3 linked regions of the Oryctolagus cuniculus genome follow. The protein of the gene in region 3 purifies or fractionates together with the protein of the main gene of each other region. This does not show direct contact. Links are inferred from orthologs where the notes say so. Each region holds a gene or a part of one and is shown on either strand. Other genes may lie near its edges.

Evidence for each region. Proteins that work in one complex are often made in the same cells at the same time.
Region 1: the proteins of ING4 (region 3) and BRD1 purify together in Homo sapiens (affinity purification with mass spectrometry; 5 studies listed by BioGRID and IntAct, with this or other methods). This does not show direct contact. The link is inferred for Oryctolagus cuniculus from reciprocal best matches to the Homo sapiens genes ING4 and BRD1.
Region 2: the proteins of ING4 (region 3) and JADE3 purify together in Homo sapiens (affinity purification with mass spectrometry; 3 studies listed by BioGRID and IntAct, with this or other methods). This does not show direct contact. The link is inferred for Oryctolagus cuniculus from reciprocal best matches to the Homo sapiens genes ING4 and JADE3.

What each region holds. Positions count from the first base shown.
Region 1 is NC_091442.1:122,834,894-122,842,231, reverse strand, and holds part of BRD1 (bromodomain-containing protein 1), read left to right. Parts: intron 1-2,523; coding exon 2,524-3,021; intron 3,022-4,504; exon of another isoform or gene 4,505-5,414; intron 5,415-7,338. UniProt on the Homo sapiens protein: Scaffold subunit of various histone acetyltransferase (HAT) complexes, such as the MOZ/MORF and HBO1 complexes, that acts as a regulator of hematopoiesis.
Region 2 is NC_091453.1:32,611,540-32,618,877, forward strand, and holds part of JADE3 (protein Jade-3), read left to right. Parts: intron 1-1,141; coding exon 1,142-1,612; intron 1,613-3,347; coding exon 3,348-3,465; intron 3,466-5,383; coding exon 5,384-6,294; 3' UTR 6,295-7,338. UniProt on the Homo sapiens protein: Scaffold subunit of some HBO1 complexes, which have a histone H4 acetyltransferase activity.
Region 3 is NC_091440.1:102,848,237-102,855,621, reverse strand, and holds the start of ING4 (inhibitor of growth protein 4), read right to left. Parts: upstream 5,108-7,385; 5' UTR 5,037-5,107; coding exon 5,000-5,036; exon of another isoform or gene 4,912-4,999; intron 1-4,911.

The DNA.
Region 1 (7,338 bases), on a different chromosome or scaffold from region 3:
CAGGCCGAGTCCCCGGCACCTGAAGGAGGGATGGCTTGTGGCCGGGGCGGGCTGCACCTAGTGGAGCTTGCTAAGCCCTGTGAGTGCACTTGGAGCTCTGGGGGTCTCAGTCTTCATTTTGACTGTGGCTTCAGGCGGCACCAGGGGTCAGTGGTGAGGGCAGGTAGCACCGTGCGTGTTAGGTCGGTGGGGATGCCAGGCTCCAGGGTCCCCTCGGTCAGGCCGGGCTCCAGGGTCCCCTCGGTCAGTGCAGCCTCCAGTGCCGCTGTGCCCCGGCCCCTGAGGCCTGCCTGCGTTGTACCCTGCACGCCTGGCAGGCAGGGGCACTGCTGGACGAGGAGCATTTGTTTAAACCCCGTGCCGAGGAGGGAGGAGTGTCATCCTGCTCTCGGGGTCCAGGTGTCCCCACACGCCACCTTGTGATGTCCCAGGAACTCGGTGACCTGGCACGTGGCCAGCGCCTCGTGGTGCAGATCCGACATCCTGTGCGAAACACTGCGGGTGGCTGCTTTGCTGTTTTGTGTTTGTGATAAGTTCCAGTGAGTGGAATTTTAGGAGCCTCACTCACCTACTGACCTACCTTCTTTCCTTTCTTTTTAAAGATTGATTTATTTGAAAGGCAGAGTTAGAAAAAGAGAGAGAGAGAGAGAGAGAGAGAGAGAGATCTTTCATTCACCGATTCACTCCCCAAATGACTGCTATGGCCAGGAGCCAGGAGCTCCCTCCAGGTCTCCCACGTGGGTACAGGGGCCCAAGGACTTGGGCCGTCTCCACTGCTTCCCCAGGCCACAGCAGAGCTGGGTGGGAAGGGGAGCAGCCGGCGTTGCCGGTGGCAGTGAACCTGCTGTGCGCCAGCAGTGGCCCCGGATCCTGGCTGCTCCCTCTCTCTGAGTCTGCGTCGAGTCCCCTAGTCCCCGTAAGCTTTTCAGAAGCATTTCCATGGTGTGATTAGCTCCAGTCAGGCTGCGCTCTGGGGACTGAGGGGCCTGCTGCTGTGTGGGTGGCAGAGGCTGTTCTGGTAGGGGAGGGGTCTGCACTCCTCACAGCCCCTAGCAAGGGATGGGGAGGCCGAGGTTCAGGATGATGGCCTGTGGGGGTTGCACTGGGGTGTCTGGACATCCCCCTGTCAGTGTGTGGGGAGCCTGTCTGGGGAGTTCTGTGGCAGCAGCTGGGAACGTGGGCCGCACACGGTGACCAGAAGAGCCTGCCCCGGTGTGGTGGTGCTGTGGGGAAGAGTCCCCAGCGCAGTGGTGCCTTGCCAGCCTGGCGGGAGCACCTGAGCTGGGCAGGGGCCTGTCCACCCTGGGCTCTGCTGCCCAGGCAGGGTGGGTAGTCCAAACACTGAGCCGGAGGCAGGAAATGAGGTTTGAAGTGCCCCTTGGCCTCCAAGGACAGGGTGGATGGGAGACTGTGAGGGCATCCTTGGCGGAGCCTGGACCGGGGCCTCAGTGCTGTCTGTGTCCCATTTACAACGTTTATGAAAGGCCTTATTGAACAAAAGGCTGTTTGTGGCCGTCACACCTGTCCCGGGAGTGTGACCCGGCCGTGACTGCTCTGTTACGCGCTGAGCAGTGGCTGGAGACGGTGCCTTTCAGCCCAGAGCGGCGGTGCGGCTGCTCGCGGAGAGCGAGCCCCCAGCTGCCCTGACCGGGCTGCGCCGCTCCTTTACGTCGCTGGAAGGAAGTTTGCCGTCCTGTTCCCGGAGTGTCGGCTCCGAGTTAACTGGGTGCTCAGAGGCCTGCCTGAGCGAGTGTGCAGCTTCTCGTTTTCACAGGGACGTCTGTATTTAAACATCAGCCTTGCAGACGTCCTGTGGTTTTCAGGAAGCGTGAGGTTTAATAAAACAAGAAACGTGCCCAGTGGCCACAGGCACGGCGCACGGCTTAGGTCATTGAAGGGTTACTCTGGGTTTCACGCCATGCTTCCTGTGGCCAAAGCCAGTCCTGTTTGGAAGGGAGCTCAGCCGTAGCGCGGCGTGGCGTGGCCTTGTGGCGTGGCCTTGTGGCGTGGCCTTGTGCCGGGCTGTCGGCCGCCCCAGGCTGCACCAAGGATGCCTGTGCCGTGTCGTTTGCGAACACCCCGATTTTCTGTGGGTAAATTTTAACCTCGTCTGTGCCGAGGTGACTGAGCCTGTCTTCCTGGGGACGCTCCGGTCAGAAGCTGACCTGGGGCCCGGGGTAGAGTCCGGGAGGCCCGTTTGAGGTCCCCTTGGTGGGGTGAGGTGTTTTCTTCTTCAAGGTAAGTGAGTTGTTGATTGTAGAAACTGCGTGAGCTAGAGGGCTGTGCGGACTGTTGTGTGCATGAGACGGTCTCGCAGCCCGGTGCCACACCATGCCGTGGCGCCAGGGAGGCGCTCACAGCGTGGCCGGCCCAGGGCGGCCTCCCGCTTCACAGTCGGTTATGTGGGATGCTTTGTTTCCTTAACTGAAGTAGTGTTTTGGTGGACTCACATTTATAGTAAGTTTTATGATAGATTTTATAATCTTCAGTTTTCAAAAATCACTTTATTTATAATTTTTTCAGGAGATAAATCTCCCCCTAAACTTGAACCATCAGATGCATTACCTCTTCCTTCAAACTCGGAGACTAATTCAGAACCACCAACCCTCAAACCAGTAGAACTCAACCCCGAGCAGAGTAAACTATTCAAAAGAGTCACATTTGATAATGCCTCACATAGCACTTGCACTCAGAGCGCACTGGTGAGCGGACACCCTCCAGAGCCCACCCTCGCCAGTAGTGGCGATGTGCCGGCGGCGGCGGCCTCCGCGGTGGCGGAGCCATCAAGCGATGTAAACAGACGCACCTCTGTTCTCTTCTGCAAATCGAAAAGTGTAAGCCCCCCAAAGTCTGCCAAGAACACTGAAACCCAGCCAACTTCTCCTCAGCTAGGGACCAAAACCTTTTTGTCTGTAGTCCTTCCGAGGTTGGAGACTCTACTGCAGCCAAGGAAAAGGTCGCGGAGCACATGCGGAGACTCCGAGGTGGAGCAGGAGTCCCCGGGAAAGCGCCTGGACACAGGTAAGCGCCGTGGGCTGGTGGCACCGCGCCCGCAGGGGCTGTGCTTCGGGCAGCACTGTGGTCCTTTGCAGAACAAACCATGCCGTTTTCTTCCCGAAGGTCCTAAACCCTGGGTCCGAGGGTGCCCTGCGGTGCGGCCTCGTGTCGCTGGCCCTGCGCTCTGCCCTGAGCAGTGTAGCGACGGGAGTGACGTCTCCTGGGGATGGAGACTGCTTGTCTTGAAGGTGGTGTGCACACCAGGCGCACTGGGGCCCTTGAGTGCCGCGTCTGGCCCGGCCGCCCTCGCAGCCCCCAGGAGGGTCTCCTCAGCCCTGGCCCTGAGCCTCCCGTGTACCACTCACACCATGTAGCTGCAGCCCCGTCAGCACGCACGTGGGGATTCGGACGGCCGCAGGGCCGCTCAGGTGCTGCTCGTTGGCCGCGGGCACGCGTGTCGCCGCTGCTCTGCTCCCCAGTCGCTCCGTGTGTGCCCACGCCCCCGCTGCGCCTCTGTCCTCGGCCCTCAGACAACAGCCTTGGAGGTGCCAGGGGCCCGTCCTCACCGCTCCGTCCAGGAGTGTTGCTGTGGTGTTTGTCCTTCCTGTCTGTCCGTCCTGCCTTCTCTACTGGCTGTGCCCTTGGGTAGTAAGGAGCAGGCCCACCCACCCCTGCATCCATGGTGCCCACCTGAGGGTCTTCACTGGATGGATAGAGCATGCTTTCTCCTGTGAGCGGAGGTGATTCCTTCTGAACTCCATTTTACTGTGTAAGAGTGTTTTGCACGTGTAACTACAGAAACGTTTAGAGGCTCCGTCCGTGTCCGTACGTGCTGGCCATTGACTAGGGTGCCATCTTGGGAATGTGGCAAGGCCTTTGTGTTTGGCAGTCACGGGGCTGCCTGGAGCCTTGGAGGACACAGGTGCAGGTGTCGGGGCTTTGTCAGCTCCTGGGGTTTCTCTCCCCAACTCCAGCTGCTCTCAGCCAGGTCCAGCGAGAGACCCCGGCACCTTGTTTCGAACTCCAGGGCACCAGGCCCTGGCTGATGTTGCTGGCCAGCCGCAGGCCTCTGCTCCACACACGGGGCATGGAGCTCCGTGTGGTGCTCCGCGTCCTCAGGGCTGCACGACTATCCGTGGCATGGGGTGCAGGGCAGGGCCCCACCGCAGAGCTGCTGGCGGGGGCAGTGGCCTCCCCGCCCTCACCTGGGGCCCGTGCCGGCACTGGCGGCTTCCAGCGGGTGGCCTCGCCTGGCCATCTAGGTCCTGCTGGGCCTTTGTCCCTGAGGGCCTCTAGCAGTGGACTAGTTTTACCAGCCTGGTGGCCGCGCCCTGCAGACCTCCCGTGGGTCTCCTCTGTGCCTCTCCACGCTGGAGGGCAGCTCTGCCTGTGTGATGGCGACGGTGAGTCGCAGGCGGTCCTCACCGGGTGATCCGCGCTGCACATTTCTGGAAGGATGCTCTGCCCGTCGACCCTCACTGAACAGACTTCTGCTTTCTTATTCCAGAGTGGCAGTAGATGTCAGTGGATCGCGTGAGCCCCTAAGCCTGACTCTGAGCGGCCTGCGAGCCTTAGCGCTGAGACAGACCTCAGGAGCGCGAGGCGGCAGCCGCTGCGTCCTCTGCCCAGCCCGGGCGGGGCTGGGTGTGGTCTGAGTGTGGCCAGTCCTCCGTCCATCTGGCTTCGCCGTCACCTGAACCTTGTGCTCTCTGCACGCCTGGATTTCTTGCTCCGAGTTTCACTTCTTCGCATTCTGAGGACTCGAAGTGTTCCGGAACCTTCCGCGTTTCCCCTGGGTCATCTGTGTGCTCTGAACTTGTAGGGAGCGCTCTGTGTCCTCCAGTGCACGCGAGCTTCCGAGTTAGATTGAGAACGGATTCCTTCATCCTGGACTCTCACCTGTGGGCCCGCTCCTGTCACCGTCCCGTGCCGTAGGCTGGGCCTGTGGTGCCTTGGGCCCTGGGGAAGCCTGGAGCGGGGGCCTGAGCCTGCGGAGCCGCCCTGGCTTGCAGCTTCCTTCTGCTGCGACTGCTTAGTTACTTCCAACCGAGAAGCGTTGGCCTGGCACGGGCTGCTTGCGCCTTCCTTGAGACTGTTGCCGCGAGGTTCCTGCCAGGCCCGTGGTTGGGGGTGAAAGCAAGTCTTGTCTTCTGCATCTTCGCTGTTCGGGGAGGAGTCGGTGTCCCTTCCTTTCAGCCAGACCAGGTTGTCGCTCGCTCTTTGGGTCCTGGTCATTCCCTTTTTCCCGCAGCTGGACAGTGGCTGTGCGCAGTGGCCCTCTCGGAGCACAGAGGCCCCTGCACCCTTGCATTTCCGCATCATCCGCATGGATCGCATTGGAGCCATCAGTTCCGCCGTCCTCTAGACAAAGCCAGCCCAGCCCCGGAGGAGACCTGCGCCCTCCAGCCCACCCCTCTGTAAGTCAGAGCTGGCGGTGGGCTGAGCTGGCGGGCGCCTTCTGCCTCTGCCCTCCCTCTGAGGGGAGCCCGGAGAATGCCCCTCGGCTGGAGCACCTGCTGCGGCACAGACCGCGAGCGCCAGCTCTCCGCGCCTGTCCTCAGGTGCCCACACGCCTGCCTGCCGGGCCAGGTCCTGCACGTGGCCCTGTCTGGAGACGGCTCTGCCGTGTGTCCTCACTCGGTTGTTAGCGTCTTGGTTTCTGGATCTACCTGATACTCCACCTCCCTTGACGTCTTCCCTTGACTGGCTGCTGTCTCGTGCTGGCCGTGCCCCGTGCCTGCCCTTGGGGACCTCCTTCATGGAGCAGGGTGGTGTCTGCGAACTTCTTTGTTGCCGAGTTTGTTTTTAGGATTGATTGATTTATTTGAAAGGCAGAGTTAGAGACAGATCTTTCATCTGGTTCACGCTCCAAATGGCCGCAACAGCCAGGGCTGGGCCAGGAACCAGGAGCTTCATCCCGGTCTCGCACGTGGGTGCCAGGGCCCAAGCACTTGGGCCATCTTCTGCTGCTTTCCCAGGTGCATTAGCAGGGAGGTGGATCAGAAGTGGAGAGCCGGGACTTGTACCAGTGCCCGTATGGGTGCCAGCGCTGCAGTTGGTGGCTTTCCCTGCAGTGTAACGGTGCCGGTCCCCGTGGCTGAGTGCCTACTGCAGGGTGGAGAAGACACAGCCGTGTGGTCATTTTGGCACTTCTAGGAGTAAGAGCGTGTCCGCAGCTTGGCCGGTGTCGTCGCACTGGACGTTCGTCCTGCACTGGGCTTGGTGTGTGTCTGAACTCGTCAGGTTCATCTGAGCTCTGGGGCAGATTTGGCGATGGCAGCAGTGGGGACCAGGATGCAGACCCCAGCCCCTGTCCTCCCGCCAGGGGCTTTGCCCTGTGCTGCAGGCGTGAGCTGCTCAGGGTGGGTTCCCGGCCTCTTGCAGAGGGTTGATAGGCTGTCTGGGGGCCCTCTGGGGTCCCCTCCCTTGCAACCACGGCCTGCTTGGCTCGTCAGAGTGGTTGGGCCGGCGGTCCTGGGTAGAGTGGGCTCCTGGCAGGAGCCCTGTTTTCACTCACTCCCCTAGTGCGCCAGCTTCACTCAGCATTTAAAACACCCTGTGCCGGAGCCCCCGCTGTGTTCTGGGTGACAGGCGTGTGTGTGGTGTTCGTGGGTTCCCCCGGGGCGTCACCTGTGTGGGTCTCGAGTCTGGAGTGGGGCTCAGAATCCTGCGGGACACGTGTCCTTTGAGGTCCTCGGAGGGCTGCTGAAGGGGGCGGTCCCAGTGGGTTCCACCCTGAGGCTGCAGCCCATGGGGCAGGCTGGGAAGCCAGGGTGCAGGCAGAGGCGCTGGGGCGTGCCGCCCTGGCTGCAGAACCTTAGCAGCCTGAGCCCAGGCTCCCTGGCACGCCCTCCAGGGCCTTGTGGCCCGCGTGGGCCCCCGTTCTGCAGAGCTGACCGGAGCCTTGGTCTCTCCTTCAGCCTTTCCTCCGTCCCCTTACCAGGGGGAGGCCCTGGGACCCTCTGCCAGGCTTCCTCGTGCCCCCTGCTGGGAAGGGTGACTTGCTGTCACCTGCCCCGCCCCCTGCTCGCTGGCACTCGGCCGTGTCCTGGGACAGCCTTGTCCACAGCTGCTCTGGGTGCTGCGCGCCCTCCGATGAAACGTGGGGGGGGGGGCGTTGAAAGGCAGAAGTGTGCGCGTTCTCTCTCTCTGAATGGAGGGCTTCCCGAGGCCTCCCTCTCGTCCCTCAGTGTGGAGTTGGGGGCCTGGCCTCGTGTGCCCCGCTCTCTTGCAGCACCCCAGGCTGGAGCTGTGAGTGGCTGTGGCTGGTCTTCCTCCTCCCCTAGTCGGCCACACCTGCCTGTGGGCCAGGCTGGCTGCCGCTTGGCTCCCAGGCCGTTC
Region 2 (7,338 bases), on a different chromosome or scaffold from region 3:
TTTTATTTATTTGAAAGGCAGAGTTATGTGGTGTTTGGGGGGGGGGGGATCGAGAGATCTTCCATCTACTGGTTTACTTCCTAAATGGCCGCAACAGCCAGAGCTGGGCCAGACCAGAACCAGGAGCTTCTTCCGCATCTCCCATGTGGGTGGCAGGGGCCCAAGTACTTCGGCCATCTTTCTCTTTTCCCAGGCACATTAGCAGGGCTCGGAATCAGAAGTGGAGTAGCTGGTACTTGAACCAGCACCCAGATGGCACCGACCTGTTAACAGCACAATGCCGCCCCTTGTGAAATTAGTTTAAGCAGAATTTGCCTCATTAAATCTTTGATGGTTGCCAGTATCCTGTTGAATTTCTCAGTCTAAGGAGAATCTGTCAGGTTTTGCATTCTTTTTCTCCTTGGTTGTATCCAAGGTCATTCTGTGTGTTTAATTATCAAAAACCCAGCTTATTAGATACTTAATTAAGCAGTGTGCCCTTCACTTTTTTTTTTTTTGGAAGTGTAGACTTCCAAAAGAGTCAGCTTCAACAATGAGATTTCAGTATTTCTTTAAGATTTATTTACTTATTTGAAAGAGAGAGAGGTCGTCCATCTACAGTGAGAGAGAGAGAGAGACAGAGAGAAAGGTCTTCCTTCCATTGGTTCACCCCCCAAATGGCTGCTAAGGCCGGTGCGCTGCGCCGATCTGAAGCCAGGAGCCAGGTGCTTCCTCCTGGTCTCCCACACAGGTGCAGGGCCCAAGCATTTGGGCCGTCCTCCACTGCCTTCCCAGGCCACAGCAGAGAGCTGGACTGGAAGAGGAGCAACCGGGATAGAACCGACGCCCCAACCAGGACTAGAACCTGGAGTGCTGGTGCCACAGGCAGAGGATTAGCCTAGTGAGCCACAGCACTGGCCCAAAGCTTGAATTCTTGAGTTGAAACTTTAAAAGGGGGAGTTTCACATGTTTAAGCTGCCGTTTTTGCTGTTTTCCATAAGAGCAGGCTTCCTGAGTTACTTAAAAAGCATCTATCATGGTCAGTTTAGGACCAACTTTCTCCTTGTCTTTCTTTTGCTTCCTAAAAAGCTGTCAATTTAGGCCCAGAGACATAGGGCTCTCCCTCTCGCCCCCAACCTTGACAGCTGTTTTCTTCTTGTAGTGTTCTGTGAAAAGCTGCATCACTGCCTTCCACGTCACCTGTGCCTTCGAGCACAGCCTTGAGATGAAGACCATCCTAGATGAGGGGGATGAAGTGAAGTTCAGGTCCTACTGCCTCAAGCATAGCCAAAACAGGCAGAAACTCAGGGAGGCCGAGTACCCCCACCACAGGGCTACAGAGCAGAGCCAGGCCAAAAGCGAGAAAATCAGCCTGCGGGCCCAGAAGCTTCGGGAGCTGGAGGAAGAGTTCTATTCCTTCGTCCGAATGGAAGATGTGGCTGCAGAGCTGGGGATGCCCACACTGGCTGTGGATTATATCTATAACTACTGGAAACTGAAGCGCAAAAGTAACTTCAATAAGCCATTATTTCCTCCGAAGGAAGATGAAGAAAATGCCCTGATACAGCCAAAAGAGGAAAGCATTCACACTCGCATGAGAATGTTTATGCACCTTCGGCAGGACCTGGAAAGGGTAAGGTGACCACCACCACCTGTGACTGATGTGTTATGGTCTGCATAGAAATGGGGTACCCACTTCCACTTTAAAAATAGTTCGTTATGGTGTGGGCTTCTGAGACCTTGCTTATGTTATGATATCGTCGTGGCCCCAGACATTGGGCTCTGTTTAAATTTTTAGCAGGCACATTCAGGGGATTGGAGAGGCCTTATTTATATGCTCTGAACTTTTAATTTGAAATAAATTCTCATTTAATTTACTTTTATTCACTTTTGAGCCTAAATTGACTCAACTGTATTTTACTGACACATTTTGATACTGCCACCTGAAGAAAGCTTTAGTGAATTTTATTAAAGAACGTGTTAAATCAGGGTTTCAAAAACTCAACACTGTGGAGATTTTGGGCTGGATAGTTGTTTATTGTAGGGGACTGTCCTTTGTTGTAGGAGACATTATAGGATGAGCAGCATCCCTGTCCTCTACTCACTAGATACTGTAGCACCTCCATGACTCCCAACATGACAGCCAAAAATGTCTTCAAATTACCGAATGTACACGGGGGGTCAAAATCATCCCTGGTTGAGATCCACTCAACCAGACAATTCAGTATAACTCATATGTATCATATCTACTAAATTAGGTACTGCAGGGGTTCAAAGATAAGTTAGGTCCTATGTTTATCCTAGAGAATTGCATAATTATAAAGTGACTTGAATTGTTTCTGTACCAAATTTGAAAGAGAATTGACATATCTGGCTCACTTTTAAAAATTTAATATGTACCTATATAATATCTACTATTTTGTTGTCAATAGTGTTTTATGCATTTCATAAATGTTAACTCATTTAATCCTAGTATGCATCTGGAAAGATACTGTTATCATCCTTGTTTACAGATGAATAAACTGGGACACAGTATAAGAAAGTGAGGACTTTACTCATGTGGTTGTAGAAACTTGTTGAGCTCAAAGTATGAGCCAAAAAAACACTTCCACTTTCTCAGCATACCTTTATCCTGCTGTTCCAGCACTCCTTAGAAAATTGTACTGGATTCAGCATTGTCATCATTTGTACTCACATATCTGAAGGGAAAGCTGAATATTTTTTAAAGATTTATTTGAAAGGCAGAGTTACAAAGAGCCAGAGACAGAGAGAGAGGTCTTCCCTCTGCTGGTTCACTCCCCAGATGGCCAGAATGGCTGGAGCTGTGCCTATCCAAAGCCAGGAGCCAGGAGCTTCTGGATCTCCCACAGGGATGCAGGGGCCCAAGCACTTGGGCCATCTTCCACTGCTTTCCCAGGCCATAGCAGAGAGCTGGATTGGAAGTGGATCAACCAGGACTCAAACCAGTGCCCATATGGGATGCTGGCATTGCAGGTGGCAACTACCCGCTATGCCACAGCACCAGCCCCAAAGCTGAATTGTTAAAACCATCAGTTGATGTTCCCAGCATGGCTGCTCAGATTAATATTGATTCCAGGATACTACAAATAGAGCAGATTTCAGGAGGCTGTTTGGGAGCATTTTGCTTGTGCTATTGATATATATGGAAACTATGATCCCATCATTGACCATCCTGTGTGCATTTCTGTGGAGTGACTATTCTAGGACCCTTGGGTTCTATCTTCTGTTTTCACCAACCCTCCAGCCCCTCTTCTGACTTCAGTTGTCTTCAGTGAAGCTTAACAGCTTCAACTGTCAGGTTGTTTAACATGACAAACAAATCTGCTTGTTGGGGATTGGGCTTTCAGGTCCGAAACCTGTGCTACATGATAAGCAGACGTGAGAAGCTGAAACTGTCACAAAACAAACTACAGGAACAGATCTTCGGGTTGCAAGTCCAGCTTATTAACCAAGAAATTGCTGCAGGTAACCTGTTATTCAAGATGTCCTAATGCATATGTAAACTTGTTTAACCTATTTTAGCAATTTAGATTGTATGTCAATTGTCCACTGAAAAATCCTTTTAATATCTTGTCTAATGTCTTATTTGCTTTCATCTAGCACTGATACAACTTTGCAGTGTCAAATCATGAAGCAAAAAGTCCCAGAGTAAGGTTGTGGGTGTTTCAGGTCTAAGACAGATGATCTAGATCCCAGAGAGATATTCAAGGCCATTAGTTGGAGTCACAAAATTATTCTTTTACATTTAGAAATCAATGTGATAAGATCTAGTCCCATTTTACAGAAAACACTTAACCCCAGAGTTACTCAGCTTAATAATAGTCTATTAAAACAAATCCTTAACTAGGAGTTACAGATCTGGGCTCTTTTTATTTACTAATATTTTTTGAGCACCTACTGTGGACTAAGAACTGAGTTAGAAGACAGAGTGGTTAGCAAGACTGAATTCTCAGCTGCGACATACACTGCCCACTTGGTGAGAGAGGCATGTCAGCGTAATTACAGTGCCCTAAGCATGGGGAGCTTGGCTGGAATGACGACAGCCAATAGCTATAGGTATCAGCGATACCTATAGCTTCCCTGTGCCTCATTTAACACAGAGGTTGATGGCAGAGCCTGAGTAACTAGAGTTCACTAAGCAAGATGTGCAGAATCAGCTCCTGCCTTGGGCCAGCCATAGAGCAAAAGAAACACTCAGAAATGAAGTGTCAGGTAGGCAGCAGAGGCTCTGAGGCATTTGTGAGTGGCAAGAGTCACAGAGTGGTGTAGAAGGGGCCAGCCGCCTTTGCAGCTGAAGAGCAACATGCCAGGTAAAACAAGGCAAACCAAAGGACAGCAGGGAGGAGCCCCCCTGCCACCACCACCCCCCACTGAGGAAATTGGCCCCTAGTCACATGGCTTCTGATTGGTAGGAATCAGCCTCATTACAGCTTGCAGCATCAGCAGGTGGCAACCCCAGGTAGAGGTGGGGGCTGTAGATATTCCATACGGACCCTTGAACAAATGCTGCCCATTGGGACAACTAAAAGCTGTCCTCTCAATTTTTCATTTTTGTGAGGTTACAGTAAGATGATAATGACAAAAGATTAAGTAATATGCAGAGAGGAATTATTTGATAGTGTTTTTTTGTTTAATTTCAGAGCACTCAGAATAATAGAGTTAGATCTATCCTGTGATTTTGAGTAACATCACCAGGTAGCTGATTGCCCATGCTCCCCAGGCCAGGCCCATAGCTGGCCACTGGCAGAAATGTTGTAGTTCTTTTCTGCTGGCCTTACCACTGCAAAACCTCATCCACACCTCCAAAATTGTCATTTGTAGTCAAGGGATTATTCTAGGTTAAGGTCCTAAAATTCACAGGCACTTCTAGTGCCAGGGTAGAGCACACACATACTCTGTACTACCACAACCTGTGCCACATTTCTGTAGGTTTGTATTTGGTTTGCTTTAGGAAGGCCAAGAGTTATTGGAGGAGGGGATCTGGAAAGTCTGTGTTTAAGGCACATCCCAAGTGCTAGACAATACCCACACATGCACACACACAAACACACAGACATACAGTTGGGAGACCCTGTTCCACATTGCTCATGACACTGTTTTCAGAAATGGAAGGAACAGAGTTGGAGATGCAGGAGACGGCAGACAACTCTTTGTGGTCATTTATGGACTAGGAGAACAGAGGTGAAGAGATAGAGGATTGCCATACAGCAAACAGTGTCATTGCTAAGCTTTTCGTCTGTAGCACACTTAGCTGCAGCTTCTGGTTTAGCTTACTCTGCCTGCTACCCCATGTGAAAGTAGGTATGTGCCCTAATTCTGCCATAAGCACGGACATTGTTATTTAAATCAGTTGCTAAAATGAGTATTTTCTTTTTGAACTCAGGACTTCCTTTGACAACTACACCAGAAAGCTCATTGTTCTACCCACCACCAAGAATTACCTTAAAGTTAAAAATGCCCAAGTCAGCTGCAGAAGACTGCAGAAATGGCTCCACAGAGACTGATCACCAGTCCTGCTCTCCTGACAGCACCTCTTCTGGTAACGATATAAGGAGCCTGCAGGCACTTCAGGAGTCGCTAGAAATGAGTATGCAGTCGTTTCCAAGGCATCCACTAGAGAGCAAGAATAACTGTTTGCCAGCCACTCTCAGCCATTCCAGAGGTGAAGCAAAGGATTCCAGTCCTGGTTGGAGAAGTCCATCTTTGGAGTTCTATCATGGGCAGTCACAGGGAAAGCCTCTGGTCCTTCAGGCTGCCCTCCAGGGACAGTCTTCCATTGGGAATGGGAAAAATCAGCCTAGCTCCAAGTTTGCCGCACCTAATGGTCTGGAGGGCAACTGGTCTGGGAATGTCACCCAAAAAGACAGCTCACACGAGATGTTCTCTGACCAGGAGTCCGTGAGCAGCCCCCACTTGGCTAGTCAGTGCAGCTTTAGAAAATCCAGTATGGATCACTTCAGCAGGTCATTTAAAGAGACCACCAATAGGTGGGTGAAGACCACTGAGGACCTCCAGTGCTATATGAAGCCAACTAAGAATGTGAATCCCAAGGAACAGTTCTGGGATAGGCAGCTTCTCAGGCTACCTGCAGGGCAAGCTCCATATAATGAAAATGATGGGTATTGCCCAGATGTGGAGCTGAGTGACTCAGAAACAGAAAGTGATGGGAATAGAGAAAAAGTTCGGGTAAAGAGAGAGAGCTCAGACAGGGAGAATCCTTCCCATGACTCTAGACGGGAGTGCCATGGCAAAAGCAAAGCACATCCCCTTTCCCACAGTTCAACGCAGAGGTGATGAGATACTCGCAAATATAACTCAGCCTTTGCCTTTGTCCCATTTATTGGGGAAAGCCTATAGACCAAAAGGATTCTAGCATATGTTAGGGGGAGTTATGGAGAAAAGAAAGAGAATTTTCCACAGTAAAATTTGCTTGCAGTTTTTGAAAAGGTTTCAAAGTCTCGTTTTCACAAGCACATTACAAGAATTGCAGATTGTCCAGAGGTTGGTTTGTTAGAGGCTGTTGGGAATAGCTGGACCCAGAGTATTTATTGAGTAAATACAGGGCAGCTTTCCAATTATATTAACACATTGATGAATACATTATTAAGTGTCCTTGCGTCACTAACAGATTTGCAAGAGACCATGATTACCAGACACTAAAACTACTTAGCTTTTGAAACTACAGCATGTGACTCTGAGAGCTCCTGTCTGTAGGACATTTCTAATTCCACTGGTATCTCTAAGCCAGGAGACCAACTCTCAGATACTGTCAAACTCACTACCCTCTTCCTTTGCTCTGCGCGAGGTTGAGTTCCTTTCACAGTATCTTGACGTACTGAATCAATACTGCTACTGCTTACAAGTGTCCAGTGCCTGTTCCTAGACTTGCTTGTTGGGGACGCACTCATAACTATTTCATGCAGCTAACAAGCATAAGAGGCTAACTTGTGGATAGTGTTTACAGAAGTACAAAAGTACTACTTCCAAGGAAAATGCTCTGATTCTCTGTTTGGTCATTTGTGAAGGATCCCAGAGCCTTTCCAAAAGTTGAGACCATTTCTGGGGTATTTGTACCAGGTCAGGGGTTTTGTGTTGTTGTTTTCAAATAAATTTGACTAAAATGAGTTTGGCTGACAGTTTTTGTATACCTGCTTTAATGTTTATAAAGTTTTTATTGAGGTATAATTAAATATAAAGTGCACAGAGGTTAAGTATTCTTACCTGCTTTAATTTTGAAACAGATTTTTATTGTCAAACAGAATTTGAAAGCATGTGTGTAACACATGGATATAATTTAGCTTTGTAGCAATTTTGAATCCAAGGCAAGTTCCCAAACAG
Region 3 (7,385 bases):
CATCCCTGAGTTGTGCAAACTCACCAGGGCTGCTCCTGCAACACAGACTTCCACACGCTGTTCTCTCTGCCTGCACACACTGCTGGGTTTTCCTCCCCCCCCCCCCCCCCCCACGTCTCTTGGGCTTCTTTCTGTTCACTGCTCAGAGGTCAGCTCAAATCTGACTTGCCCAGACTCTCATGAGCAAGTGTCCAGATGCATACTATCAAGGTACTGTATCTCAATTAAAAAAAAAAAAAAAGATTTATTTTATTTGAAAGGCAGAGTTAGAGAGAGGCAGAGGCAGAGAGACAGAGAGAGGGGTCTTCCTTCCATTGGTTCACTCCTCAGATGGCCACAATGGACAGAGCTGTGCTGATCCGAAGCCAGGAGCCAAGAGCATCTTCTGGGTCTCCCACACAGGTGCAGGGGCCCAAGGACTTGGGCCATCTTATACTGCTTTCCCAGGCCTAGCAGAGAGCTGGAATGAAGTGGAGCAGCAGGGACACGAGCCAGCACCCATATGAGATGCCTGCACTGCAGGCAGTGGCTTAACCTGCTAAGCCACAGCACTGGCCCCTATACCTCAAAATTTTTTTTTTTTTTTTTTTTGACAGGCAGAGCTAGACATTGAGAGACAGAGAGAAAAGCCTTCCTTCCGTTGATTCACCCCCTAAATGGCCACAACGGCTGGCGTGCTGCGCCGATCCGAAGCCAAGAGCCAGGTGCTTCCTCCTGGTCTCCCATGGGGGTGCAGGGCCCAAGCACTTGGGCCATCCTCCACTGCCTTCCCGGGACACAGCAGAGAGCTAGACTGGAAGAAGAGCAACTGGGACAGAATCCGGCACCCCAACCGGCACTAGAACCCGGGGTGCCGGTGCCGCAGGCGGAGGATTAGCCAAGTGAGCTGCGGCGCCAGCCTACTTCAATTTTTTTAAAACACTTATCCAGCTTTAGTAACTACACAATTAGTTATTTGGTATCTGTCTCCCTAGCTCTCCACAAGAGCAGAGACAAGTCTGTCTCGTTCACCTATTTCCCTAGTGTTTAGAATTATGCCTTGCATACAGAAGGTACTCAATAAATACTTGTAATAATTTATTTTTCCATAAAGGAACATTTTTTTCTCTTCCCATGACTCTACCTCAAACTTTCAAAATGCCTCTACTGCTTTAACGCACCTCAGGCCTGCTATTGCCAAGTCACTTAGTGCTTCAAATCAAAAATGACTTAGCCAATCAAACGATCTCTTATTACTTCTATTCTAAAAAAAAAAAAAAAAAAAAAATCTGTGCAGGGGTAGATGTTTGGCCTAACAATTAAAATGCAATTCTGGACTCACACACCTGTGTGGGAACGCCTGGGGTGGAGTCCAAGCTCTGCTTCCGCTCCCACACTCCTGCTAACGTGCACCCTGGAAGGCAGTGGTGATGCTGCAAGCAGCCGGATCTTTGACACTCGATGGGGGACCCATAGTGAGCTCCTGGCCCTGGTTTTGGCTTTGACTCGCTCCAGCCGTTGCTGGCATTTGGGAAGTGAACCAGCGGAGGGCAGATTGCCTTCTCTACAATTCAAAAATAACCGAAAAATAAATGTCATGCAGCAGCTGGCACCATCTTCCCTCCTTGGAGTAACTTCCTGCCTCTCAGGATTCACATCTGATTATACACCTCCTGGTGATTTCAACACTGACATGTCTTGGTCTGTCCTTTCAATGTGAATGTTTTCTTGAGATTACACTTCAGTCCTCTCATTTTCTCACTTTGTTTTCCTGAAAAATCTTGTTTGCCCTCATAGCTATAATAACCAGTCCTATGCTTACCTCTAAATGGAATTAAACACACTGTTGTTTCTGCTGGATTTCCCATCTTGCTGATGGTACACATCAGCCTCACTTTCCAGCAGGAAGAAGTCACCGGAAATTCTCCCTTCTTGCTCAACCCCTCGTTCAGTCAGCATATTTAACTCCTGGCATATTTAACTTCTACTCTCTGAGATCAGGCCCACATCTCTGACCCAGACTGTTTTCACTAACTGATCCCCACGTTACCAAATTTATCTGGATCCAATTTATCATACGTAGCTTATTTTCCTTTATAAAAATAACACTGAGGGCCAGCATTGTGGCACAGTGCTGCCTGTGATCCAGCATCCCAAATCAGAGCACGAGTTCCAGCCCCAGCTGCTCCACTTCTGATCCAGCTCCCTGCTAATGTGCCTGGGAAAGCAGCAGAAGACGGCCCAGGTGCTTGAGTCACTGACACCCACGTAGGAGACCCAGATGGAGCTTCAGGCTCGTATCTTTGGCCTGGCCCAGCCCTAGCCACTGAAGCCACTTGCTGGAATGAACCAGGAAGATCTCATTCTCTCTCTCTCTGCTTTCAGATAAATAAATAAATAAATCTTAAAACAACAAAAATAATAAAAAACCCACAAAGCATTATTCTCAAAATAATCACTGGAGTTTAAATCCAAACTTCTTAGCTTGGATGAAAAAACCTGGCCCAGGGGCCAGCGATGGCGTAGCAGGTTAAGTTGCTGCCTGCAGTGCTGGCATCACATATGAGCACTGGTTTGAGTCATGGCCCCCCACTTCCCGTCCAGCTCCCTGCTAATGCACTTGGGAAAGCAGCAGAAGATGGCCCAAGTGCTTGGGCTCCTGCACCCATGTGGGAGATTGGAGGTTCCAGGTTCCTGGCTTTAGCTTGCCCAGCCTTGGCTGTTGTGGCCCTTTGGGGAGTGAACCAGTAGATGGAAGATTGCTCTCGCTCACTCTCTCTGTCTCTCCCTCTCTGTAACCCCGCCTCTCAGATAAAAAATAAAATAAATCTTTAGGAAAAAAAAAAAAAAAAAGAGCTTGCCCAATCTAGCTCTAGCCTCCTCCTTTAGTCTCATTTCCCAAGCTCTCTTTTTAGGGTCATGTGACAGTACTTTAACACATTAATGGAAAAACAGAATACAGAAAAATCGGGTTGAGGCTGGCACTGCAGCACAGCAGGTTAAAGCCACGCCTGCAGGACTGGCATCCCGTATGGGCACCAGGTTGTTCCAGCTGCCCCACTTCCGCTCCAGCTCTACACCATGTGGGAGAGCCAGAAGAAGCTCCTGGCTCTGGCCTGGCCCAGCCCCAGTTGTTGCAGCTATTTATTTGGGGGAGTGATGGAAGACCTTTTTCTCTGTCTCTCCCTCTCTGTAACTCCAACTCTCAAATAAATAAATAAATCTTCAAAAAAAGTTCTGGTCCAGAAAAGACTGAATTCAATGCATATATTTTTCAGAATATGCACTTGCCATGAGCCTTCTGAGGATCTCATATACGCCAGGATTTTAAAAAATAATTGGGTCGGGGCAGTGTTTTGGTGCAGCAGGTTAAGCAGCCTTTTGCAATGCCAGCATCCCATATCAGAGGGCCAGTTCAAGTCCCAGCTACTCCACTTCCAATCCAGCTTCCTGCTAATGTGCCTGGGAAGGAAACAGAAGATGGCCCAAGTCCTTGGGTTCCAGCCACCCATGGGGGAGACCTGGATGGAGCTCTTGGATCCTGGCTTCAGCTGGCCCAGCCCTGGCTGTTGCAGGGATTTGGGCAGTGAACCAGAGAGTGGAAGACCTCTTTCTCTCCCTCTCTGTCACCCAGCCTTTCAAGTAAATAAATGTTTCAAATAAAAAACCTGGACCAAAATAAACACCTTTTAATTCTATTCTCCATGAGCTTTGGGATGTCTCCTTGTATATATCAGACTCTGACCTCATCGTCCCATGATCTTGCGACAAGCACATCACACAATACCTTTGCCACAGCATTACCTTTCCTTCCCCATACAGCAAGTAAACAGTTAAATCTTCAAGATTCTGTTCAAATATTGCCTCCTCTGCAAAGCCTCACCTACATCCCGAGGTAATTAGCCCCTTTCTCTCTACTGTTAACCACTGTACTTATATCTGTAATATTTCCTGCCACACTTTTATAAATATATATATATATATATATATATGAGTGTTTGCAACATCTGACTTCTACTAGATCACGTGCTTCTTGAGGGCAGGGCCTGTGTCTTCCTCATTTTAAAAAATATCCTCATGAGGCCAGCGCTGTGGCTCAGCAGGTTAAAGCTCTGATCTGCGTGCCAGCATCCCATATGGGAGCTGGTTCAAGTCCTGGCTGCTCCACTTCCAATCCAGCTCTCTGCTATGGCCTGGGAAAGCAGTAGAAGATGGCCCAAGTCCTTGGGCCCCTGCACCCTACTGGGAGACTTGGAAGAAGCTCCAGATTCCTGGCTTTGGATAGGCCCAGCTCTGGCCATTGTGGCCATTTGGGGAGTGAACCAGTGGATGGAAGCCCTCTCCCTCTCTGCCTCTGCCTTTCAAATAAATAAATTAAAAAAAAAATCCTCACTATGTCTGACCCATAGCAGGAACTCAGTATTTGTCGAATGAATGACTGGTGACACTAAGACAAACGTAAGTGCAGCAGGGGCCAGGCTTTGTGAAGGGGTGGGTTACACTAACGGCATAAACAGCACTAATCTCCATTTGAAGGGAATCAGACCTTTACTCCCTGAAGCGTTCCGGTTCACCATCTGATAGCGGTCACTCAACACCACCCCAGCCTCAAGAGAAACCACTTGGGAAAGAACCAGGAGACTAGAGCAGGTCTTGGCCGTTGCTCCAAAAGGCAGTGGGTGACACCGACTCTGAACCACCCCCGGGGGGAACCAATCTACCCCGAGGCTGGGGACCCTAAAGAACTGGAGCGGCAAAATCTTCCGTGTTTCGTCGACCAGCCATTTAAGACAAATCCTGAGACCCTCCGCGCAAGTCCTCCCTCGCCGACCCTCAACCCAGAGGCCTCGACCCTACTGCCCCGCCCCCTCTTTCTTGACACCGTTCAGTATTGCCTCCCACGGAACCCCTGCACAATTAGGAGCTGCTCACCGCCGGGACTTCGGGACCACAGATCCTCTCAGCCCCAATCCCCACACCACTCTACGACCCCTGACCCCCTCCTCCAGCCTGCTCTTACTGTCCAGATAATGTTCCAAATACATCCCCGCAGCCATCTTGGAGCAAAACAAAGCAACTTCCGATTCGCCCCGGAAGCTATTCTTGGGTCATAGTATTTCCGCCCTTAAAAGAACTTCCGCCCTTAGTAAATTACCTGCCCGGACACATCCGCCCGACGTTGGATGTTTTCCTTTTGCGTGAGTAGCCACGAGCGCCCGAAGTGAGGCGGCTGTGGCCGACTTCCGCCCTTACTGAGACTCCAGTACGCGACCGAGACAGGTATGACGTCACTGGAGGTCGCCATTTTGCATTCTCTTGCAAATTTTTTTTTTTTTTTTTCCCCTCCAAAACGGCGATGTGTGGTAATGGGGATAGAAGCTTCTCTTTAGGATTGGGCCCGTAAAGGTCTCTTTTCTTCAAGAAGGGAGGCCAACTTTTTTCTTTTGCAGAGTCTGAGTCTGGTAAGCAGAGGAGGTCCCGGCTGAAACAGGACTTTTAGGCAAGCTAGGAAGTTGGAAAGCAGTATGAGGCTCTGAGATTTAAACGCTCCGTATTTGTGTTCACACGAACACCATCTCCCCTGGATTATTTCTCAAGTTGATTCATTATTTATAAACTTCCTGCTTTTAAATACAATTAGAAAATAAAGGTAATTTTGCACAGCGTTTATCAGCAGCACAAATGTAGTGCTTCTGACCTTACCCTCGTGTCACTGAGGAAATCTCACGTTTTGCTTCCCTTCTGAGTTCTTATGTGATGTTAACATAATTATGAAGGGGTTGGGGCATGGAACTCTTACCACAATTAGGCCAGTTAAATGCCAGCCATCGCCCTGGTCAGCTATAGTCTAGTGATCTCAATGTTTTCCATCAGGGCTGTACCTCATGGGAGAATCAGAACTCAAAACCCGTAACCAACTAGTGGTGTTATATAGTCACCCCGTCCATCGCAATTACTATCAATGCCATGTGGCAGGTTTCTAATATTTTCAGTCACGTAATATAAGTACGTGGAAGGGCAAGGTGGACCCCCAAGTTGGCCACTGAGCAGTGGTAGGGTACAGGATCTCCCCTCTGAAGTTACAGGTGCCTTGCCCTTAGACAAGTAATCTGTGCACTTTTCACTTTCTATACAGTAGGAACAGTACCTACCTCACAGGGTTGTTGCAGTGTCTGTGTATCCTTAAAAAGGTTCCTGTTCTAATATTGGTGAAGACCATCACGCCCTTTTCTGCCGTGAGTAGAGGCAGTAAATGCTCAGGAAGCGACCAAACACTGGCATATTTGGTCACCAAATATACTTGCTAATTGCTCAGTATTGCAGCAGTAGCCATTATCTTGCCTGCCCAGCAAATCAAGTGGGCATTATTGAATAACCAAGGATCTGTGCCATGCCAAACACTGTTTGCCAAGTAGTCCCAGAGATCCACCAGTTGTCAGGTGTTGGAGTTTGGTCACAACTCTCTGTTTAGTCTTCAATTCTTGAAAGTAAATCTTGGAAATTACCAAATTCCTTCATTAACAGCTCCAAGAGGCACTGGGGCCAACACTGGAGGTGGTGGGGTCCGGACCCAGGTATGAGCTTCCAGACCATGCTCACTCCTCAGAACTCCATTCTGCATTGTTAATCCTGCACCCATGAGGGTTCCCACCACTGGGAGCCTCTGGTTGAAGGTGCACAGGGTGTGTGTGTACACGCTTTGCCAACTGCAATTCCTGGAGCCCATCATAGGTCCTTTGGAGAGGCCATTTCTCTTTTTTTTTGATGGTGAGAACTGAAACCCTATTCTCACATATTTAGGCAATGCAAACCTCATGACAGAATTAGTGTGTAGAAACCCTCATAAACCAAGATCTCACTTAAGAGATAATGAAAGGGCATCCTTTTCTGGCTGGGGAATTACACACATGGAGCCTCGTCACACAAGCACTCACTCTTCATACACCCACTGGCGTAAACCCTCAGCACTGGCCTTGAACATGTCCCCAGAGCTTTGTCCCACTTGCTCACATCAGTAGCTCCACTGCCTCTGATCCTTTTACATGAATTTATTTCTATACAATGTTCTAAAAACACCCCTTAGTTTGTACATAAGTTTCTTTTTTTCTTCATTTTTAAACTGCTTTATAACAACTTGTTTCCTGATTTTTTTAAAATTTTCTCTTTTCTCTGAAATCTGCCATGATTTTTTTTTTAAAAAGTCAAAAGGAAACAAAAATGTCATGGCCAGAAGACAGGGTGGAGGAAAAAAAGACAAAAATAAACAAAACATCAAATATGAAAATTCTCAGAGATAATGCATTTATAAACACAGAAATGGTTACAACAAAGATGGCCGTGATGAGTGGGTATATATATATTTATATATATATTTATATATAAATCCGTGTCCGGCATCTGACCGT